Notamacropus eugenii: one gene and its partners. The protein of the gene in region 3 interacts with the protein of the main gene of each other region in a biochemical or structural test. Links are inferred from orthologs where the notes say so. Each region holds a gene or a part of one and is shown on either strand. Other genes may lie near its edges. The genes, in order: FCN2, CFH and PTX3.

What was found.
Region 1: the proteins of PTX3 (region 3) and FCN2 interact in a biophysical measurement, tested with the Homo sapiens proteins (2 studies listed by IntAct, with this or other methods). The link is inferred for Notamacropus eugenii from reciprocal best matches to the Homo sapiens genes PTX3 and FCN2.
Region 2: the proteins of PTX3 (region 3) and CFH form a complex in vitro, tested with the Homo sapiens proteins (3 studies listed by IntAct, with this or other methods). The link is inferred for Notamacropus eugenii from reciprocal best matches to the Homo sapiens genes PTX3 and CFH.

What each region holds. Positions count from the first base shown.
Region 1 is NC_092872.1:488,118,277-488,125,465, reverse strand, and holds the start of FCN2 (ficolin-2), read right to left. Parts: upstream 3,097-7,189; 5' UTR 3,015-3,096; coding exon 2,939-3,014; intron 2,440-2,938; coding exon 2,326-2,439; intron 401-2,325; coding exon 347-400; intron 1-346.
Region 2 is NC_092873.1:444,689,068-444,696,904, reverse strand, and holds the start of CFH (complement factor H), read left to right. Parts: upstream 1-4,793; 5' UTR 4,794-5,052; coding exon 5,053-5,110; intron 5,111-7,837. UniProt on the Homo sapiens protein: Glycoprotein that plays an essential role in maintaining a well-balanced immune response by modulating complement activation.
Region 3 is NC_092877.1:367,858,970-367,866,675, forward strand, and holds the start of PTX3 (pentraxin-related protein PTX3), read right to left. Parts: upstream 3,008-7,706; 5' UTR 2,874-3,007; coding exon 2,741-2,873; intron 1,805-2,740; coding exon 1,454-1,804; intron 1-1,453. Other genes in the region: VEPH1 (ventricular zone-expressed PH domain-containing protein homolog 1), read left to right, coding at 7,004-7,170.

The DNA of each region.
Region 1 (7,189 bases), on a different chromosome or scaffold from region 3:
GCTTTTGGAAGTCAAGATACATACACATCCACCCTCAGGTTCTGCCTACATATGTACTAATAACTCAGGTATCAATACTTCTTTAAGATTCACACACACACACACACACACACAAACACACACACACACACACAAATGTGAGGTGGGTGGTATAAGTGTGGCTCCTGCTGTCAACACTGCTTTGAGTCTAGGAAATGGAATTTAGGGGAAGTGTCCTGACTGACAGCAGAAATTGACTTTCTAGGAATGAGCAGCCCAGTGAATGGAACCTTAGGGAGCTGCTCTTGCTGCAGCGGGCATTCAGGTTTTATCCATGGGGTTCTTTGATTTCCTTTTAATTACTTACCTTTGGGACCCATTGGTCCTGCCTTCCCAGGAGTCCCAGGAGGGCCTCTCTCCCCTGTAGATACCAGTGAGATAGGAATGGTGATAATAAATTATAACATTTAACTTGAAATTCACCAACTCCCCTTCCCACCCAACCCCCAGCCACTCTCACATACTCCCTAGATTATGATTGTAGAGGTGAAAAGGGACCTCTGCAACCCTATTCCTCTCCTTTTACAAGTAAAGGAAATGAGGTCCTGTGACAGATAAATTAAAATAACTGAGAAAGTGCAATCCAGGTTATGTGACTTATTAGCAAAACAGGCATAATAAATGGTCAGCAGACTCCCTAGTCTGTACAAAGACCCTGCATACAGAGTGAGACAGATTTTTATGTATTCAAAACAATTAATCAAATAAGACCAACTAATTAAACAGAAAACAACTGACAAGACAAAAGCCAGGGTACAAAATTAGGTAATCTGATTTCTAGCTGGAGGAAAGGTTGAAGGCTTTCCAAGTTGGGAGGGGGGAAGAGTACATTTTGGCAGAGTTGGTAGGAAGTCAAGTAGGTTTTGAAATCTTTCTTTTCCCAGAATTTAGAGATGCTGATTAATTGCAACCACCTACATTTATGAAACAATAGATACCTCATGCCACCTAGTTTCCCATGGATGATTTGCAACAAAGCAACAAGATGAAGGATAATACATGTAGCAGCACAAGATGGAATCAGTGTTCATCAGATGGACTCTAGCAGGTTCACTTGATTCCCACACCAAAAGAACTGCATTTTGTAACTGGTCTTTGGTCATCCTGGAGGACTTAAATCACTCATTCAGAGTCATCCAGGTCATAAGGGGATTTGACCTCAGACCCTCAGATTCCAAAACCAGCATTCCTTCCTCTGCGCTATGGTTACCTCTTGTCAAACATTAGTTCTTAAGACTAATGACATTTTTTTCATCCTTAGAACACAATTATTTGCTCTAAACAGCATTCCAAGAGCCACAGAGTGTGGTCTAAGAACCATAGATTGTATATTAATTATGTTGGTGATTATGATTGTTAGGGAAGCTGTATAATATAGTGAATGATCCTAGAGTCAGGAAGACCTGCCTTCAAGTCCAGTCACTTAAGTCTCAGAACCTTAAGCAAGTTAAGAGTTGTAATCAGTTTTGTTTTTTGGATGGGGATGGAGAAGAGGGAAAGTATTTTGGAAACTGAAACTAACTTAATAAAAAGGCATAGCATCCCCTCCACTCAAAACTACAGATGAGTGACAAAAACTACGGATTCTTGATATGTCAACATGTTAGATTTACTAATGGTAATGAGTATATTGGGCATGATGGCGGTGAATTGTTTGCACTTGTAATCTAGCAACAAATAGGATTTAATACTCATCCAGATCTGAGCATAGTGGTATGAGAGATGCAAAGATGATTAAGGTGACCCCTCCACTCCTGGATCTTTCCATGCATAAGAGAGATAAGATAATGGTAATTATTACAGTTAAAATAGTAGGAGTGGTGAGAATTCTGAGTTCAGATGAGTGAGAGATACCACATCCAATTGGACAGTTCTGATAAAGCTCAGTGTACAAAATGGGACAATGGCTATTTGGGGGAGGCAGGGCAGGCATTGTCACCACTTGACAAGAAAAGTGAAGTTGAAAGAAATTAAGTGAAGGGATTTGCTAAAAGTCCCATAGGAGGTCAGCAGTAGAGCCAAGACTAGAACCCAGATCTTCTGGCTATATATGCTGAAGTATGAACTTGTGAACTAAGCATAGACCCTCCAAAACATAATTATTTTCTGAAAGGACTTTTGAAAGATACCTATTTACTCTAAATAACATGTGAAGAGCCACAGCTTATGGCCTATGAACCTCAGCTTTCCCAGCTTTGTCCTGTGTGGCGAAAGAGTCAGTGTTCTGTGACCATTTCCAACTCATATCAACCAAAACCTCTGGACCTACAGGGTATGGACACATACCTCTTTTTCCATCAGAGCCAGCTTCTCCTTTGGGACCAGGGGGTCCAGGAAGTCCTGGACAGCCTTGGAGTATGGCAAGTTTGTCAGACTCCCCAAGACCCACAATCTTTACATCTGCAGAATGTGAAAGACATACACACACATACACCATTGAGTATTGTATTTTCTATGTATTATATTACATTACATTATATTAATTAAGTTATGTTATATCTAATTTGATCTTCTCAACAGCCCTGGGAAGTAAATATTATTATTATTGTTAACGCCATTTTATATATGAGGAAATTGAGTGAGAAAAAGGTTAAGTGATCTGCCCAGTGTCACACAGCTAGTAAGTATCTAGGGCAGTATTTGAACTCAGGTATTCCTGACTAGTCTTTCTAAGCACTAAACCATCTAGATGCATATAGAAGTTCTGGGAAGAGAGGGAAGGGGTAAGAGGTTAGTGGAGAGAAGAGATCCTCTTTCTCAGAGAACACAAGGTTATAGAAGAGAAATAAGAAAGAGCAAGATATTTTTGAGAAGAATGGGTCTCCATGTTCCTCAGGACTAGATCCAGGAAGAAATGTCAGTTCTAGAGCTTAGCGCCATCTCTGGGAATCACACTCACCTGGGCACTGATCAGGCTTCTGAGCAGTGGAGGTCATGAGGCATATACACGCCAAGAGCCAGGCAACTCTGTCCATAGCCTGAAATGGGCTCTTCAGCCTCAAGGCTCTAGTCACTTCTTGGTGCCTTTGTCATTGGCTGCCAAAGGCTGCCCAATCTTATAAAGGCATTGGAGAACCAGCCGTCATAAGCCTTTCTGTCTTGTTTCTCTTCCCTCTTGGGGTGAACTGTTTGCTTTGGCAAAGTATCAGATATTGGAAAAGAACGTTCTGCTCTAATTAGGTCCTTGGGAATTTGCTGCTTCCTAGGAACTCCTTTTTTCTTTTTTTCTTTTCTTTTCTGTCCAGACCTGTGATTTCCTGATGAATGATCCCTACTGCAGGACAGCCCCAGGCATGCTTCATTCACTTTCTCTGACCATTTCTTCCACAGCTTCAACAACCACTTCGGTGCCTACTCCAGAGATCATGCTCATTGAGAAGCTTTTATTCCTTCTATCTGAATTACAGTACTGGGCACTGATTGGTGACTCCCTGGTCATCTTCTCTACAGCCTCATTAACTGCCTTGGTGCCCATGGCAAAGACTTCCCTTCCCAATCTTGACCTCCACCCCCATTCACCTAACCAAGTTTGGAACCATGATTAAATCAACTCCTAGAAGAATGTGTGAATCTCTGTCTGAAGATTTAATGCCCTGTTCCCATCTACTCTCTGAAGTATATATTATCTCCCCTTCTTAGAATGTAAGCTTCTTCAGAATAGGGATTATCTTTACTTTTGAATTTGTATACTCAATGCTTAGCACCGTGCTTGGCATATTTGTTGCTCGGTTGTCTTTCACTCTTGTTGAACTCTTCCTGACCTCATTTTGAGGTCCTTGGGGTTTTTTTTACATTTCCTTCTCCAGCTCATTTATACAGCTGAGAAAACTGAGGCAAATGGCATTAAGTGATTTACCCAGGGTTACACAGCTAGTAAGTGTCTGAGATCAGATTTGAACTCAGGAAGATGTATCTTCCTGACTTTAGGCCTGGTACTTTATCCATTGGACCACCTAGCTGCTCATATATGCTTGGCACATAGTAAATGCAGTTACCAGTGTGGAAACATCTTCAGTGTAGATTATCCACTCACCAATAATTTATATATTCAGAGGTTTCCCTGGAGCTCAAAGAGATTACATGATTTGCATGAGGTTGTATAGCTGGTTTGTGTCAGAGGATGAACCTGAACCCAGGTTTTGCAAGGCCACAATATTATTCCCCTAGGAATGCAGTATAGAAGAACTAGAAGTGACTTCAGAAATCCTTCATCTACCCCACTCCCACTCCCCATCTGACAAATGAGGAAACTGAGAATCAGTGAGAAAGGTGAAGACTTGCCTAGGTCAACTCAGGTAACTTATAGTCAATTAAGATTCCATCAAGAGGTCTCTGATTTCAAATCAAATAGTCATTTTTTTAGGTTCAATTACTTTATTTGGGGGTAGTTAGGTGATATAGTGGATAGAAAACCAGGTCTAAACCTAGGAAAACTCCTCCTTCTGAGTTTATATCTGTCTTCAGACACATAGTAGCTGCGTGGGGGCAAGCAGGTGGTGCAGTGGATAGAGTACCAGTGCAGGAGTCAGGAGGACCTGAGTTCAAATCTCATCTCAGACACTTGATACTCACTAGCTGTGTGACCTTGGGCAAGTCACTTAACCCCAACTGCCTCATCCTGGGTCATCTCCAGTCATCCTGAGGAATATCTGGTCACTGGATTCAGATGGCTCTGGAGGAGAAGTGAGGCTGGTGACCTGCACAGCCCTCCCTCACTCAAAACAAAGTCAAGTGCAAGTCATGTCATTATTTCTCTGATGGCATGGTCTTCTTCCAATGGAAGATGAACACACTAGCTGTGTGACCCTGGACAAATCACTTAACCCTCAGTTTTTTCTTCTGTAAAATGAGCTGCAGAAGAAAATAGCAACTACCCCAATATCTTTGCCAAGAAAACTCCAAATGGGGTCACAGAGAGTCAGACATGACTAAAAACAACAACAATCTATTTTTTTTAAAATCATAGAATGTTTCTTATAAAAGAGCCTTACATTCTATATAGTGCTCTAAATGGATGCCAGGAACCATGGACAATTGGTATTCTTTATTCCCTGTTCCCCTCTGTCCTCTCCCAAAATTACAGTGACCACAAAGCAAGGTGTTCACAACAGTAACAGGAAGGGGGATTTTTTTTTTTTACCATCAGCAATGAACAAACATAAGATTCACTCTCTCAACAGACGTTCCAAAATTTCGATGTAAGTTTTACACATCTTCCCCCTCACTACTTTGTTTTTAAGAAACTAAAAAATTACATCTAGTAAATAGCAAAGATTTCACTCTACCTCAAATGCAGAACACCTATGAAACCAAGGAATGTCGACTTTTTGAACAGAAGCAGATAAAAAACTCTAAAAGATGCAAGACTCTTTCATGTCTCCACTAGTCTGAAAAACTTTGCAGAATACTACTTCCCATTATAAAAAAAGAAAACAAGTTGCATTAGAATGTTTCAACATCTGCATGCTGCTTCATCCTCGGTTGCTTAAATATTGAGCATTCTGAAGAAAATCATCCCTACCAATTTTGGATCATTAAACATCATTGTGAAACCATCAGAGTCACAGATTTCATCATAGAAATTGGGACATAGGGCTGTGCATATCCTTTGATTGGAGATTCAGATATAAAGATCTGGTAGGACTTTTATGCATTCCACAACCCCACTACGCTTTCCACCAATAAGAACAACACTCTCAGTGGAATGAGGACAGCATTCATCTTCCTGGAAATGCTTGATAGTTGTCTGAATGTTCTCTTGAAGTTCTTTGATTTTAGCATTTTTGACCACAACAATTTCTCCTGCCAGTCTGTGATGAATCAACAGTTTAAATTTATAGTCAAAGTCACTTCTTTATAGTGCTGGAAATTTAAGCATTCATTCCACAGCATCAGATTTGACTAGAAGTTGACTGGTGGCAGTGGGTGATGGCAGCTTCCAACGTAGGAATGATTTCTTCAGAATTTTTCCAACTGTTTCATTATCCGCACTTATCCTCCATAAGCACTGCAAGGTCACTGCTATCTGTCCCCTTAATAAAAGGATTTGTTCTGTGAAGTTTGGATCCAGTAAAAGGGCCACACTTGAGGACCTAGAGGGCTACATATGGCCTTGAGGCTGCAGGTTCCCCACCCCTAACAATAGCACAAGGCCACCTTCAATCACTACCCCAGGTGACTGAAGCTAGACAGAGACCAAGCACAGGTCCCCACTCTCCTCCCCCATTCCCAAATCTAATACTTTTTCCATTCACTGTATTCTTCAGTTCTCATTCCCTTCAAGAAAGAGCAGACATTCAGACCCCATTTGCAAGGACGTTTCCATTAAAAAGAGCTTACATTGCACATCTAGCTTTAAGTAAAGGCCAGACATCCAAATTGCCCCATCTTCAATGGCTTGAATTGAACAGGAGCTTGGTGCAGGTGACCCCATGCTGTCTTTGCTGGATAGGACATTCTGTCTTTCTGATGCACCAATAGCATTTATTGTCTGTGTTATTCAGGAGTACTTATCACATACTGCTGTGCACTGTCTGTTACATCTGCATGAATACTTTTTGTTGCCTCAACCAGATTGTGAGCTCCTTAATTAAAATAATAATCCCTTATATGTGTGGGACCTCATTGCCTCACCCTTGAACTATTGCAATAGTGTCCTGCTTGGTCTTCTGGACCCAAGTCTCTCCTTACTCCATCCCCTGCTCAATTACTAAAATGATCTTCCCAATGAAGAAGTCTAAACATGACCCCATCCCTTCCTACTTCCCATATTCAGTAAGTTCCAGTGGCTTTCAATTGCCTCCAGAATCGAATAATAAATCCTTTACTTGGCTTTTAAACTCCTTTGTAACCTGTACTCTTTCTCCCTTTCCAGTCTTCTATTTTGTTTCCCTTCTGCATAATCTATGACCTGGGGGCAGCTAGGTGGTGCAGTGGATAGAGCATCAGTGCAGGAGTCAGGAGTACCTGAGTTCAAATCTCACCTCAGACACTTGACACTCACTAGCTGTGTGACCTTGAGCAAGTCACTTAACCCCAATTGCCTCATCCTGGGTCATCTCCAGTCATCCTGAGGAATATCTGGTCACTGGATTCAGATGGCTCTGGAGGAGAAATGAGGCTGATGACCTGCACAGCCCTCCCTCACTCA
Region 2 (7,837 bases), on a different chromosome or scaffold from region 3:
TAATAGTTGCGTGACCCTGGGCTAGTCACTCAACTTCTTTTTGGCCCAGTTTCCTCATATGTAAAATAGGATAATAATAGAACCTATCTCCCAGGGATTGTGAGTATCAAATGAGTTAATAATTGCAAAGTGCTTGGTACATAGTAAGTGCTACATAAATATTGGCTATTATTATTATTTGCCTTTTTTATGTATATATCCCATCTCCCTACCTGGATTACAAATCCTTCAAAGGGTCCTTTTCTTATACACATTTGTATCTCCAGAATATAATAGGCAAAAAAAAAAATTGCTGCTGCTAATTTTACTCAACATTCGGTTTCCTATTCTCTATCCATTTTTCACACATATTCAGTGCTTTAAAAATTGAGTTTCAGTGAACTAAGCTTGGTCCTGATGCTTCCAGATTTTATAGCTAATATTGCCAAATTAACGTACATAATGCATAGATGTTTCTGCTAAAAGAAATCCAAAAGACAAAGGTAGTGATTAGAACAGGTTCTTGTCATGTACTTGTGTGTTTTTCAATCATAGATGTTTCGTATGGTCTTCTGTTAACATATGAATGGCAAATTTGTCATGGTTTTCAATTCAACATGTTCAAGAAATACATATGAAACATCTATTAATTGCAGGCACTGTTCTAGGCCCTGGAGATGCAAAGACAAAAATCAGTAACTTGCTGACCTCAAGGAAATTATGAATCATCTGTTTTAACAATATTCCTTCATTTATTAGTGCACCATTTGGTAACACAGAATAGATATAACTTTCACCTTTCAGTTTCCCAGGAAGAGGTGTGGGTTTGAGGAGAGGAATTAGCAGTGTCACTATATCACATCTACCATCCCGTAGTCCTCCATAGCTGGGAAAAATACTGCCAACCCCTCCTCTTGGTGTGTGCTCCCCCTCAGCTTGAGAGTTTCTTAAAATTCCCATTGAAGCAAAAACTATGCCAGGAAGAAATACAATTCCATGCTCCTTAGTATTTGGGAACTACTTCCAAGGCATCCAGTCTCAGCTTTTCCAGAAGAACTGTTGTAGAGTCTATCCCTTCATTTTACAGATGAGAAAACTGAGGCTTAGAATGGTTAAAACGACTTGCCCAGGGTCATATAACTAGTTTTCAAGGGGGCATTTGAACTCAGGTCTTCTTGACTTCTAGTACAATATTACATCACTTTGCCTCCCCTTGGCCTACTTTAGACTATTCTGTGCTACTTCAGCAATGCCTTGATTAGAAGCCTGAAGTGCCTGATAACTTGAAAAAGAACATGCATGTGTACATATATGTACATGCACATGCACATGCATATGTATATGTATATGCAATATGTATATGGATGTATTGGTTGGTTGTTGTCCTTCATTCTCAAAAAGGACCAAAATGACTTCATGCTAGAGTCAAGTTTCAGTGTGTCTGACTATTGCTGGTCAGACCAATATGAATTTGGAATGCTCTACCACAACTCAGGCACAAATAATCCATATGAACATTTGGGTGGATTCTCTAAATTTGCACGTCCTACATTTCCTTTGAGCTGTTTCAATTTTGCTTCGCTTGTAGAGAACAGCACCTTTTCTGTTGTGGGCCCACCATGACGAACATCTAGATCTAGACAACAAAAGTCTGTCTTGACTATAGCTTCCATCTTTCTTGTCCTCCCTTAATACTTGCTTTGTCAATTATCTTAAATAAGCCTAGGCAATGTAGAGACTTTGGAGAGTGTGCGTATTCTGTATGGTGATACCAATTAAAAAAATTTTCCTAATATTTTTTGGAGCGGGGTTAGTTATCAATATGTGCAACAGCTTTGAGATGATGCTCTGACACCATTACCATTACTACCACCACTACACCTACCATCGCCATCATCATCCTTATCAGTGCTATCTCATTCTTCCCATCTTTTTGGGCAGGATTCAGGACAAGCTTCAAACCCGCTGTTATTCTCCTACTATTTATTTACTATTAATAGACAATATTTGTAAACCAATATTGAGCTAATAAGCATAGGGCTAGGCTCAAAGCACTGGAAACATTAGGGTAAGCCTGAAAAAATGAGAAGGACATCATTATCATCACCATCACCAGTAACAACATGCCCTACTGAGTAGTTGCTATGTCTTGGTTTTTTGTTCTCCAGGCTAGAGTAATGCACTGTTGTTAGTTAGTGCCATTAAATTCTAGGTTTTCTTAAGAAAGAGAAATTTAAAGTTAACTTTTCGTTTAATATGGGGAGTTATCTTTTGTCTAATTCCATTCTCTTTTTATTCAAATATAACTTCCTAGTTTTCAAAAGCAAGAAGTAAAAAAAAAAATAAACAAATAAGTAAACCCATAGCTGAAGCTTTATTGGACCCAAAGTATAACACTATTACTTTATAAACCCAAATAGGAAAACTAATTTTTACTTGCATAAAAGGCAATATTTGAAATATTTTTACCTGTATCTTTTTGTCTTTATGCCCATGAGATCATAGGACAGACCCAAACTACTCCAACAATAATCTAAGAAGAAAGCTAGGAATAGTCATCATGAAATTGAAGGAATAATTATAATGGGTCATCTTTCCATTGGAAGATGGAAATTTCAACTTACAAGGAAGTGAATAGGACAGAAATTCTTGAACTCTGGTGTTAGCTGTTATCATAGCTCTCAGTTCCCAAAGATCCAACGTGGGCCAGTAACACTGGGAGTACCAGAGACAACCCCCAGGGTTCCTAGCCAGTCCAGCAAAACAAGGTCATAAAAGGCACAGTGAACCTCAGACCCAGAGTTCTAGGCAAGCAGCATACCAAGAGTGGATCATAGACTCAACCCTGAGCTTACTAAAACTTCCAGATACCTGAAAGGGTTTAAGACTAACTACTCTTTCTAGGAGCACCACTTAGAAGCAAGTCTGCCACTGTGGGGCCTAGACTCAAATTGGAACTTGGAGCCTGACAATCTATGAGGACACAAATTAGGATGTCCTCTTGATCAGACCTCATTGGGTCTGTTGAAAATTTGCAGCTTTATACTTCAAACTGTCCTTGTGATTCTTAAAGACTCTAACACTCAGTACATGAAGAACATAATGACAGACTAGGTTAGGAAATTAGACCACAAAACAAGACTGGAAGAACAAGTTTTTTGTTTGGTTGGTTTTTGTTTGTTTTTGGTTTTTTTTTTAATTTCCAGTTGGACAGAGGTGGGAGCTGCAAAAAGAATGGTAGAGAGCAATGATCACTGGCAACAAAAATTATGTTCAATAAAGGACAAAACCCAAAGAACAATTTATACTATAATATCACATTATAAAAATAAGCTTAAAAAAAAAAGACATGAACACTGACAAACATAGTGATCAATCATGATTCCAGAGGACTTATAACTTACCTCCTGTCTGAGAGGTGATAAACTAATATACAGAATGAGACATACTTTTGGAAATGGCTAATATGGAAATTTGTTATGTTTGACTATGCTTGCTTTCACAGGAATTTTGTTTTTCTTTTCTTTTTTTTTTTCCGTGAGCTGAGGAGATGGAAGGCAGAAAAAAATGCTTGAAAAATTCTAAAAATTTTCAAATTGAATCAAAAGATAAGATAAATGAATGTTTCACAGAAACATGATGATAGAAAAAGTAGCAAATGATTGCATTGTAGTAAAGTATCAAACACATTAGCTCTAATTTTAGCATTGCCTCACATCCCAGATCCCCTCCAAGATATACAAATATATGAAATGCATCAAGAGAATATTAAAGTTAAAAACTAGGACTTAAAAAATTATAAGTGAGGACCCTGTGATCTTCCTCTTATTTATCCAAATTCAAATTATGACCACTGTTTGTAATGAACAAGATCTCAGCTTAGTAAATTTTCTATTCTCAATGTGTCTTTGCATAGTAAACGCTTTATAAATGTTTGTTGAATGAATGAATGATAAACTCAGCCTATAAAAGTGTTCTGGTATTGGCTTTAGATATAATTGCAAAACTAAGTTGGCAGTTTCAGACGGGTAAGTGGAAAGTTGGAATGAATATACTATGTTAAAATAGGAGTCATTGGAGAGCATTATTTAAAAATTTCAAGTGATGGCTGAGATTTCAAATGTGACTTACTTTCTTGTGAGATATCTTTTGTTTTCTGGTGTGTTTTTTTTTTCCTTCAAGTAATAGAGCCAATCCAGTACCTTCATTTAACTTAAAAAAAATACAGTACATTGGCTTGGGCAATAAAACACAGATAAAATTACACTGCATGGAGAAAAAGAAAAAAGAATCTGTTTTGTCAGATTTTTGTAGTCCAGAATCTTTAGCAGCCCTGATTTTTCTGTTTTTTGTGATTTAGGTTATTACACTAATTTGCTAGGACTGAGTGGGAATCAGTTGCTTTACAAACAAATATAGTGTTACTGGGGTGGAGAATAAAATTAATGGATTGCTAAAGAAGGAGGTAACGGGATAGGTCAGAATGGCATTCTTTCCAAAGTTTACATAAGTTATCTGAGTTGATTGTGAAAGTATTGGTCAATCTGAAGGGCTGTAAATGAAAGATTTAAAAAAAACCTATTCACTTCCCCTCTCTTCCTCTTACTGCCCCCTCCCCTTTTGAATATGTTTAATAAAGCAGTCATTTAATTTCAGTAAATGGGAGGTGGGGTACATATAGAAAGCATTATTTAATTTGTTGCAGAGCCTGGGAACTTGAAAATAATCCATCTGAGAACATGCCTGTATTTTTAATGACAAATCAGAGTGGAGGTCACAACTTTAACAGTGAGTGGGAGGACATGAAGAATTCTGTTCATACCCTGGCAAGGAACAAAAGACTTGTTGAGTTCTGTGATTTGATATTTGTTGGGTGTTTATTTTGGGGTTTTTTTTCCCCTAGCTTAGCTTCAGTTTCTAGTAGGTGGGACATTTAGTTAGTGGACTTTATTCAGGCAGCATATTTTCAACTTCTGTTTTAAACAAGATTTCACTCGGAGCAGTCAGAGGAGAGCATTACATGGTACCTGCAATATCTAGGTCCTAAATGTGTCTTGCTTCCACGTACAAAAAATGAGATTTCCAGTAAAGATTGTTTTACTTCTGTTATGGACTATCTGTGCTGCACAAGGTAAGGGGACAGGATTTTGGTTCTCTTTAAGGAAACTAAAAAACATTTGTTAGTATATTTTACAGAGACAAACTGAGAGAGGAAGAGATCAAATTACAGATTATAATTATATTCTTGTTCTACTTCTATAGTTCATGCACCTATGGATATTTTAAAGTGTTAATGATTTCAATAGCACATTTAGATGTTTCTTTTCACTTTTTATTTTCAGATAAATACTATAAAAATATTTTTTAAAGTAATCATTTCTGAACTACTAAGTTTCTTAAAGAGTACCCGTTCTTGATTCATTAAAATATTCCTTAAAAAACTTATTTTCTGAGCTATTGTTTTACTCTTCCAGGAATTTTTCCATGAAATGTCAGAGACAAAATTCATGCTATTATTACTGGATTGATAACTAGCCTAGATTGTATCTATGCCTAGAGATCAATGTATTTATTATTTGTTTCCAGTGCCTTGGTGTTTTGTTTTGTTCTTTGAAAATAATTCTAATATACCATAAGTGGAACTTCCTTACAACACATCTGTAAAAATAGTATAAATTTAAGTTAACAAAAAATTCAGTCTGTGAACTGATAACTTCATTCCATAGTTAGGATTCTTTCAAGAAATTATTTTTAATAGGAACTACAGGAAAATTCTCTACTAAATGCAATATTCTGATAAGAAAATAGAATGAGATAGATCTTTCTTAGTATAGTGAGAAAATTGATGAATGAACTTCTGTTATCACACATAGTTTAAATGAGCTCTAGTGTTTTACAGCCAATTGGTGAGTTTACTTTTGGGTATTTTACTTAGATGGTGCATGTAAGATAAGTGATAACTAGGATTCATATTTGATGTATCTATTTCATGAAACTGCATCAAGCATCTTTTATTTGAGGAAGAAGTCATGATGTAGTATGAAGAGTTCTGAATTTGAAGTCACTAGAGATTTGGGTTCAAATCCTAGCTTTGACTAAATGTATGACAAATGAACAATTCACATGATCACTCTGGGCTTCATACCTTTAGTACCTACCTCATATGGTTTTTGATGATCTAATAAGATACTGTATGGAAAATGTCTTACATACCTTAAAGCACTATACAGATGTCAACAATTATTATCTTTTGATTACTAGAAATATGCTATCCATATAATATCTTTAGATGTATATATTTAAAGTTCGCAGATCCCAGGTTAAAAATTCTTTATTTAACGGTTGAACTGAAAGGATTCAACAAATCAACATGTTTGTGTGTAGGGGCAGTGGAAGTATTGGGACAAATTCTTGGCATAGGAAATAGAGGAAAAAAATAAATTAAGGCAGGGAAGCATTAGCCATGTTAAGGATAGGATGGGGGCGGGGGATGAGGTGTGGGGTGGAGGAAGTGGTAACGTGATTTAGGCTGGAAGACAGAGGATGTGGAAGGTAATAGGAATAAAGTTTAAACATGTAATGTGGTACCCAATTTTGGAGAATCTTGAATGTAAGGTTTAAAAAATTTGAACATTATTATTTACGTCTTTATTTTAAAATGTATTTTATGTTTATGTATTTATTTCTAAGGTAGGTGGTAATGAGGGCCTATACTCATAGGCAGTAGGGAGAGGGAGTACAGAAGTAAGGCAGAATAAATACTACATGTCAGCTGATTAGCTAAGAGCCATGAGGGAGAGGGCCTAGAATAGTGAAAGGTAGCAGTAAGCTCTCAAAAATGGGAGAGCGGCTGACTAACAACAACAACAAAACCGAAACTAAACCTTATAACTACAATGACCCAGCTTGGCTCTAGAGAAAAGTTGCAAGTACTTACCTCCCTCCTTTCTTGACCAAGGACAAAGACACAAAGTGTGATACATTACACACACACACACACACACACACACACACGCATGCATGCATGTATACACACATGCACACTCATGTACGTATGTATGTATATATGCACACATGCATGTGTATGTATAAAAACATATTCTGTCAGTTATAGTTGACTTGTTAATTTTGGTAAACTCTATTTTTTATCTTTCTTTTAAAAATCTTTGTCACATGGGATGATCTGCAGGTGGGGGAGACATGAGGATATGTATATTTGGAAATAAAAGAGTTATAAAAATAAAAGTTATCCTGCCCTATTGTGCTTTTATGTATTTGCACAGATGGTCCTCATACCTGAAATATATTATATTCTTTCAAGGCCTGGATCTTGGGCCAGCAATTCCTCTACCTTGAAGCCTCCCCTGGTCTCTTAAATTTCCCTTAAAGCCCTTTATCATGAGAAAATATCAGATTTTACATTTTGCTTTATTTATTGATTTACCTGTCTTATTTTTATTAGTAGAATATAATCTCCTTGTAGAATAGTAGAATAATGACTATATCACATTATCTGTATTTCTAGCATTTAACATACTGTCTTGTACAGAGCAGAACTTTGAGATACATACACATACATATGTATATTTGTATATGTATATATACATATGTGTATATATACATATGCACATATATGTTAGTCCAAACTTTTCTGAATTTATCTGATAGGGCTATATCATGCATCCCCTGTTTCTCCATTTTTTTTTACAAAATATCATGTGAGAATTTGACAACAACTTTGAAGAATGAATATATGTTACAGTATATCCATAGAACCTGAAATACTTACATTACTCAGGACTGAGAACAATCACATATGTGAAAATGTAAATGGTAGAGACAATTGATCTCTGTTGTC
Region 3 (7,706 bases):
ATGGTCTCTCTAATACTTTCAGAAAACAAAAGTAAAAAAAAAAAGACTGAAACACAAATGTACCTTTCCCTAAAGAGATATTTTCAACTAGCAGTCTGTCCCTGGTAGTTGCCCCAAAACCCATCTTACAAAGGTATCTCTCCCTGATCCTCAGAGAGCTCCCCACTCCATCAAGGTCATTTGACTATGGCATTAGAGAGGCAGTGGAAGAGGATTCCTCTGGTCCCTCAGAAGATCAGTTTATACTTTAAGGCATAAGATTTGCTAGGTTACTATTATCAATCAGAACTGTCCTTAAAGACAAGCAGCCAAGCTGGAAAAAAGTCCACAGACCTAAAGATATACTTTACCTCAATCTATCTCTCTCTCTGGAGAATAGAAACTAAATTTAAAATGAAAATAAACTAGATGGTGCAGTGAGTGGATAGAGCACTGGACTTGGAGTCAGGAAGACCTGAGTTCAAATTTGACTTCAGATACTTACTAGCTGTGTGGCTCTGGAAAAGTCATTTAACCTTGTTTGCCTCAGTTTCCTCATCTGTAAAATGAGCTAGAGAAGGAAATGACAAACCACTCCTGTATCTTTGCCAAGAAAACCCCAAATTGGGCCATGAAGAGTCAGACATGACTGAAACAACAACAACAAAGACCCTGTCCTCAGGCACAGGCCAATTTGCCAGGGAGGGAAGGGAAGCTGAGAAGACTTTTTTTAAAATGAGCCAATAGAGTTTAAACTGATGGCCTAATTCCAGGGTGGAATAGTTTATGTGTATTTTAAGGTGAAATCTGCTACCATTTGAGTTGTGTGTGTGGTGTGTGTGGTGTGTGTGTGTGTGTGTGTGTGAGTGTTTCAATTCTGGAGAACAAACTCGTTTCAGAACTATTTGATACGGATACAAGGCTGGATTTGGAGTTGGATGACCTGAGTTCAAATCTCATACCTGCCATTTAATATCTCTATCCCCTTGGACAAGTCATGTAGATTCTCTGGGTGCCAGTATCTGTAAATCCCATATCCCTAAAAGGGGCAACTCAATGATCCCTAAATTCCCTGTTAGTAGACTCTATTTAGATCTATGATCTTATGATGGAGAATAACTCAGTGATAGTACATGTAGATTCATTATCTCATTTGACCCTCACAACCCCTAGGACGATGGATGAACCTGAGTTCTCTCATCCATAAGATAAAGGGGTTGGATGCAGTAGGTGACGCTCGAGGTCTCTTCCAGCCTTAAATCTATGCTCTGGAGATTCCATCAAAGGCACTAAAGAAGGATTTCTTCAAGAAAAACAGGCTGGGCTCAAAGACCATGAGAAAATTAAAGGCTGTTTGGATCCTAGAGTCTCTCTGCCTATGAGACTTACCCAACCCCCAATGGGAAGCTCAGCCGATTGGGTGGTGGGCAGCCAGACAAGGGGAGGTGGGGCGGGGCAGAAGGCTCTCTCTTACCTGCAGGCAGTGAGCGCTGTGCAGCCCACCTGCGCAGGGCTCGCAGCTCCTCCAACACGGGCAGCAGACTATTCGTGTCGGGCGCCCTCTGCCAGGCACTCTCCAGCTTGGCAAGCCGGTGTGTCAGGCCACGGCTGGCCAGTGACAGCTCTTCCAAGGTCCTGGCTAGCCAGACAGGTTCCTGGGCTGAGGCGTACATGCGGGACACATCTGAGCGCAGCTCACGCAGTTCAGCAGTCAATACATCCTCGGCTGCCTGCAGCAGTCTGTTCTCCCGCATCTGAGAGTTCTCCAGCATGACGAAGAGCCGGTCCCACGCCATGCGCTCCTGGCTACAGTCACACGAAAAGCCTGTAAGAAGCAGAAGAAACTGGTGTCAGGGACCCACCTGCACGCCCACAGGGTCACAGAGTTGGGCAAGGGCCCACACCACCTATCTCCTCCCTAGTCGGCTCTGCTTGACCCAAAGTCCGCTGCCCTTGCCCTCCAGAGAGGTCTGGGTAAAGTCTAGTAAGGTGTCTCTAAAAGTCCCACCTTCCACATCCTTTCTAGAGACATTCAGAAAAGTAGTGCATATAAGGCCTGAGGGTGCATACCGGCCCACGTAGGATCACCCTGGTGGTCAAGAAATCTTTTTTATCCGTTACTGCTTACTTATTTATGTAGCAAACCACTTTTTTTTGTGGGGGAGGGGGGCGAGAAGGCTGTTAGACAGACCTATGATTTATACTATGAGGAATGGGAACCCCCAATATGGAAACCCCTTTCACAATTGGGGTTCCACAAAGTTTCTGTCTTACCTGTTAGTTACCTGGGTAAAGCAGATGGTACTTATCCAGGATCAGACCACTAGTGTGTGTCAGAGGGCAGAATTTGAGCCCTATTCTTAGGGCCATAGGACCATACTTGGTTTGACAGGTTCTTTAGGGGCCACCTGGTACAATCTCATCATTTTACACACGGAAACTGATACCCAAGAAAATTAAATGGCTTGCCCACAGTTGCCCAGATAAATGTCGCAATTCGAACAATCTTCCTGACCGTAAGCCCACCTCTCCTTGCCCTGAGTGCTTCGGGTTGCCTCTCAGACCACTTCAGTTCCCTTCCTTCCTTTCTTCTACATATATTAAATTACTTTTAAAAGTTCCCTCTGCTCTAAAGAACTCCCTCTTTTCAAAGGAAACCTTGAAATAGCTTACCCTTGCTCCAATACTGACTATCCCCTACGCACACAGAGCAGGCTTGGAACAGTTAAGGGTAGCAGAGAAACAGTTAACAGGCACTTACTGTCGTCAGTGGGATGTATTCCATTCTCTATTTCGTTATCCAAATTCACATACATGAGATTATAGTCATCGCTGTCCTCAGCCGACAAGGCAGAACAGAAAGCACAAAACAGAAGTACTCGGAGATGTTGCATTTCTCCGGGAGAAGACAGCGATTGTACTTTTTCGGATTTCTGCAAAAGTCTGCTGGGAGGGAGCTGGCCTGGAGCAGAGCAGAGAATGAGAGCAGGAGGCTAGGAAACCTCTTAATAAAGGTCCGGGGCTGCCGAAAGTGAATGAATGAGCAATGCTGGTGGCACCGGGGGGGCTGGGGGCTGAAATGAGAATGCCTCTGGTTATTGGAGGAAGAGGAGGAAAAGGAGGGGGCTGATGGGCTAGGGGAGGCGGGGAAGTTAGGCAATACTAAACCCCCAAGGTTTGCTCTGTGGTCAGGTTAATTGAGGGAGGGAAAAAAAGGGGGACGCTGAGAGCTGGGGTAAAACGGATCTTACGAGACTTGTCCCTGGAGAATTAGATGTTGCAATGTGAATTTGTACATTCTGATGTACAAGAAAGCTGCTTGTGTGGTAGGAAGAAAATGCATCAGAGCTGGGAGGAAAGGCAGGAAAGAGAGATAAGATCCTTAGGGGAGGGGGGCTTATGGGAATATTTTTTCCACAATCCTTTTCGTCCCCAGACTTTTTTTTTTTTTTTTTTTTTGTTCTTTTTACTCTGCATTCCCTGTACCCTCGGTTTTACATGCCTTCGTTGCCCGGAGTCATAGATGAATTCCAGTATAAAAAAGAAGATGCAATCCGGTGGCTAAAAATGCCCAATGGATTAGGAACCTATCTTTTCGTTCCAGTTAGAGTTCGGTCATTCTTCCCACTGCCTTTATTTGAGCACTATTGTAAAGTTTTACACAAAACCTTGGGAGTTTCATAAACCCAGTAAGGGGGGAATGGGGAGGGTGAGGAGGAGGGATACCCTGGAAGAGGGCAGTATACAAATCTTAGAGACGCTTGTTTTCTTCCCCCAGTAGTAAATCTCTGCGAATACATAGCTCCAAGGAAGCCAGCTTACCCTCCTGGGCTTGGAGAGAGGATCGTATTTCAAGAGGGAATTTAGATTGTGACTATCTGTGATTTCTGTGCTGGTGTGTTTAGGAGCGTGTAGCTCAAACGGAATCACACTTTTATTGTTTCATTTTGGGGTCTATCTTCAGTTGAAAAGTGAACAAGTTTCCTCCCCCCCACCATATACACTTTAAATTTGTAACATTAAGTAAAAGTCTTATTAGAATTACATGCCAGCTTTATGCCTTAAATTTTAGCTCCCTTAAAATTGGCATTTTGAGCAGGCAACTAGGGTGTCCCTTAACTGACCCAGAGGGACCCTTTATTGTAGCTTTTAATATTCTTGATCTTTATCTCTGGAAGAGATCATGGAATTTACACCAACTGTTAATTCTCTCTGGATTGGTGACTAATCACCAGAATATACTGTTGCCTGGTGCTCATCAGGGGGCCATTTACCTATTCAAGACCTCTTGACAGTTTCTCTAAGGTTTTGGGATCAAGCTGCGTATTTGAGCCTCCTGGATCATCTCTCCTGCTGACCAAGCCATGGTGTGCTCTAGCATTCCTCCTGGCCCTTCTGTCTTACTGTAGTGTGCAGGTGTCTAATTTGAGCCTAATGGAGACTCCTAGGGAAGTGAGTGTGTGTGTGTTGGAAGGAAGGATGCAGAGTTGAAAACCAGATTTTATCTGGAGATAGTGATGGCCACATATCTATTCAAACCTTACCAAATCCATGCTCCAGGTGAACAATTTGATGCATCTCCCTAGAACTCCAGGCTGCTTGAGTAAGAAACTAGACTTCATGAAGCTCAATTTCATGAGCTCTGCCTTCAGAACCTGGGGCCAGAAATTCAAAAGAAGGACAGATTCAAGAGCTGTGACTACTAGTAGGCTAGAATGATTCTTAGCCAGTCTACCCAGGGAAGACGTAAGACATAAAGAGAATGACCTGGCAGAGAATCTGGCTCTCTATCTCACCCATTAGCCTGTGAGTTCCTTGATATCAGAGACTGTCTTCGACCTTTCTCGGTATCCGTAGTACTTAAGGTATGTTAGTTGATTTGACTTGACTTAGTTCAAATAGAAAGAGTTTTACTTACTGAAGACAGTCATTGATGTTAGAGAATATGGTTTTGAACTTCACCTGGGAGAGCTTGGACTCTGTTCATAAAGATTTCTGTGGGGATGGAATGCTTGAGAACTACAAGAATGTGATGTCCCGGGGCTTCCAGGGTACAAACTAAAGATGATCTCCCATTGAGAGTGAGACAAAACACCCTGAATACTGAAGACAGAAACCTCAAGAGGGACCTGTGCAAATGAGGAGGCTAGGCTTGAAGTCATGGAATAATTTCCACAGTGAAACATTTGTATGGGAGAATCACTCCAAGAAAGATTCACAAGGGATGGTCCAGGATGGTTGGGAAACATGATGGCAAATTCCATGGATAGCACAATGATCCAATTATTAAATGAGTTAAAACAAGTCATGATCACCCACAAGAAAACCCACAGTAAGATCAGCTTCAGTGCCATCCCTGAAGACTTTCCTGACCACTCCACTCACTTGTTAATGCTTTCTCATCTTCCCAACTTACTTTGTCTTATCTATGTACCTATTCTGTTCCACCATTACTACCACCACCACCATCCCATTCTCTGTCCCTATACACTATGTATACTTCTTGAGATCCAGGGACTAACCCCATGCCATAGCCCAGTGCCTTGAACGTAGTACTTCTTAATGTTCATTGTTGTTGATCTGCTGAAGTGAAATTCGTTCTGCAAAGACAATAATAATGATATTCCCTTGTCTCCCAAGTGACTTCAAAATTCTTAAGTATAAAGTTCTTCAGTTCCCTGTGCCTAGTGAATACCCAAAACAATGAAATTTAATGGTGCCAGGTCCAAAGACCTGTATTAGCCCTCTGCCACTGAGAGGCAGTGAAAAAGATCTGTGGCTTTTGGAATAAGATTTTGGTCCAAATCCTGACTCTGCTTCAAATGTCTGTGTGACTTTAGACAAGTTGCTCAACCTCTCTGGGGCTCAGTTTCCTTTTCTGTAAAATGGGGGGGGGGCTGGTTCTAGTTATATCTAAAGTCTCTTCAAGCTCTGACATCCCATGGCTCTGGGTGGTATAAGTAAAAAGTAGTGACACTAATTTCCATTTTGTGGAATGTCTCCTTGCTTTCAAGTCCTACCTCATACGTTGCTGCCCCTGAAAGGCGTCATCAAGGATTTTTGGTTTCCTCTAAAGTCAAACTTTTATCATTCAGAGTTTTAGAGCTTTCTGTGTTTTACCAATGTTTTCTTTGCTCAGTTCTTAAAATATTCTGCATAAATATGTGTGCCCAAACACACAAATGCATGTACATTTACATGCAGTCCCTACTCTTTGGGTTCTTGTGTATATTTCTCTTATACATAAATCTCCATTTTAAAGGAAATATAAGTATAATACTCCCGGTTCAAGGCATCTATGGAAACCAGTTGCTTTGAAGCTTGTAAGTACTTGCCAGTATTCGAAGAGAAGGGCTGATCTCTGCAGTGATAAACAGATTCTCCCATGTGTTCTTGGTATGAATACCTGAACCTTATATAAAATTTCTTCCCGGTGCTTGCTTTATGGAAAATCATGAGTGACAAGCCATATCTCAGCAGCCCTTAAAATGGAGGTTGGAACCATCTTTGTTCCTCCTTTATTGCGAATAGTAAAGCATTATTTCCAGATGTCTATTGTCTTTCTCTGTGAAGAACGTAATACATTCTATTATTTTCTTTTCTTTGTTTTCATTTCCTCTCATATTTATGATAAAGCTTGGTTTTCAGTTAAAGGCTGTCTAAGACTCTTATCATTCATCCTCTGTCTATACTAATTTCTTCTCAAGGTTGGGGCTCTTCTGCTTGCCCCACATTACTTCACTTAGTATAAACCATCATTAGGTAATAATGTTTCTCATTATCAGATTCCCCACTCATGGAATAAGCTCTGATAGTAGCAGTGCCAGTGATCTGTGGGAATCAGGGTCACTCTTTGTTATTACTTGGCTCAGTAAAGGAATGGGTGATTGGTCCCTATGATTTGATATGTGACTAAGTATCCTAGATGCTTGTTAGTTCAACCCCAACATGATTAATGCCTCTCATGAGCTGAGAGAGTTGTGGAGCCCAAGTGAATGAACTGACTTTATTATCCTTTAAACAGGCAACTCCATGCTGCTGCGTGTCTTGCCTTCTGTGTATGAAAAGCAGCCCCAGCCAATTAACAGCCACGTGATGGAGTTGGTGACCCTGATGTGTGACCTAGAGACAACAGAACAACACCATCTTCTCAGGCTGTTGCAGATAGTGGCAAGGAGGAAACGACCCACGGTAAAGGCATATTTTTATATGAATATAAATAATAAAAAATAACAGATCCTTCATATAGGACTTTGACACTGGCAAAGTACGTTATATATATATTATCTCAGTTGAGCTTCCTAACAAAGCTGTGAGGTAGGTACTGCAGATATCGTCATCCTGTTTTATGGATGAGGAAACTGAGTCTTGAGGGGGTGACATGACAGGGTTGGCAAGTGTCAGAGATGGGAACTGAGCACGGGATTTTCTGACTCGAAGTCCAGAACACTATTCACTATACCATACGGACTCTCAAGGATGGGTACATTTACATGAATGCCTAGGTATGTGCCTAGGCTACCCTGCATGCATGGATATTTCACCTAAACATACCTATCTTGAAATTAAATTAATCAGGCACTGAACATTTGTTAAGTATCTACTAGGCAGTCACTGCACTAGATGCTAGGTCTAGAAAGATGAAACTGAAGTTGTCTCTGCCATCGAGAAGCTGACATTGCATTAGGAGATATGTTTTATATACATATATATACACACCCACACGT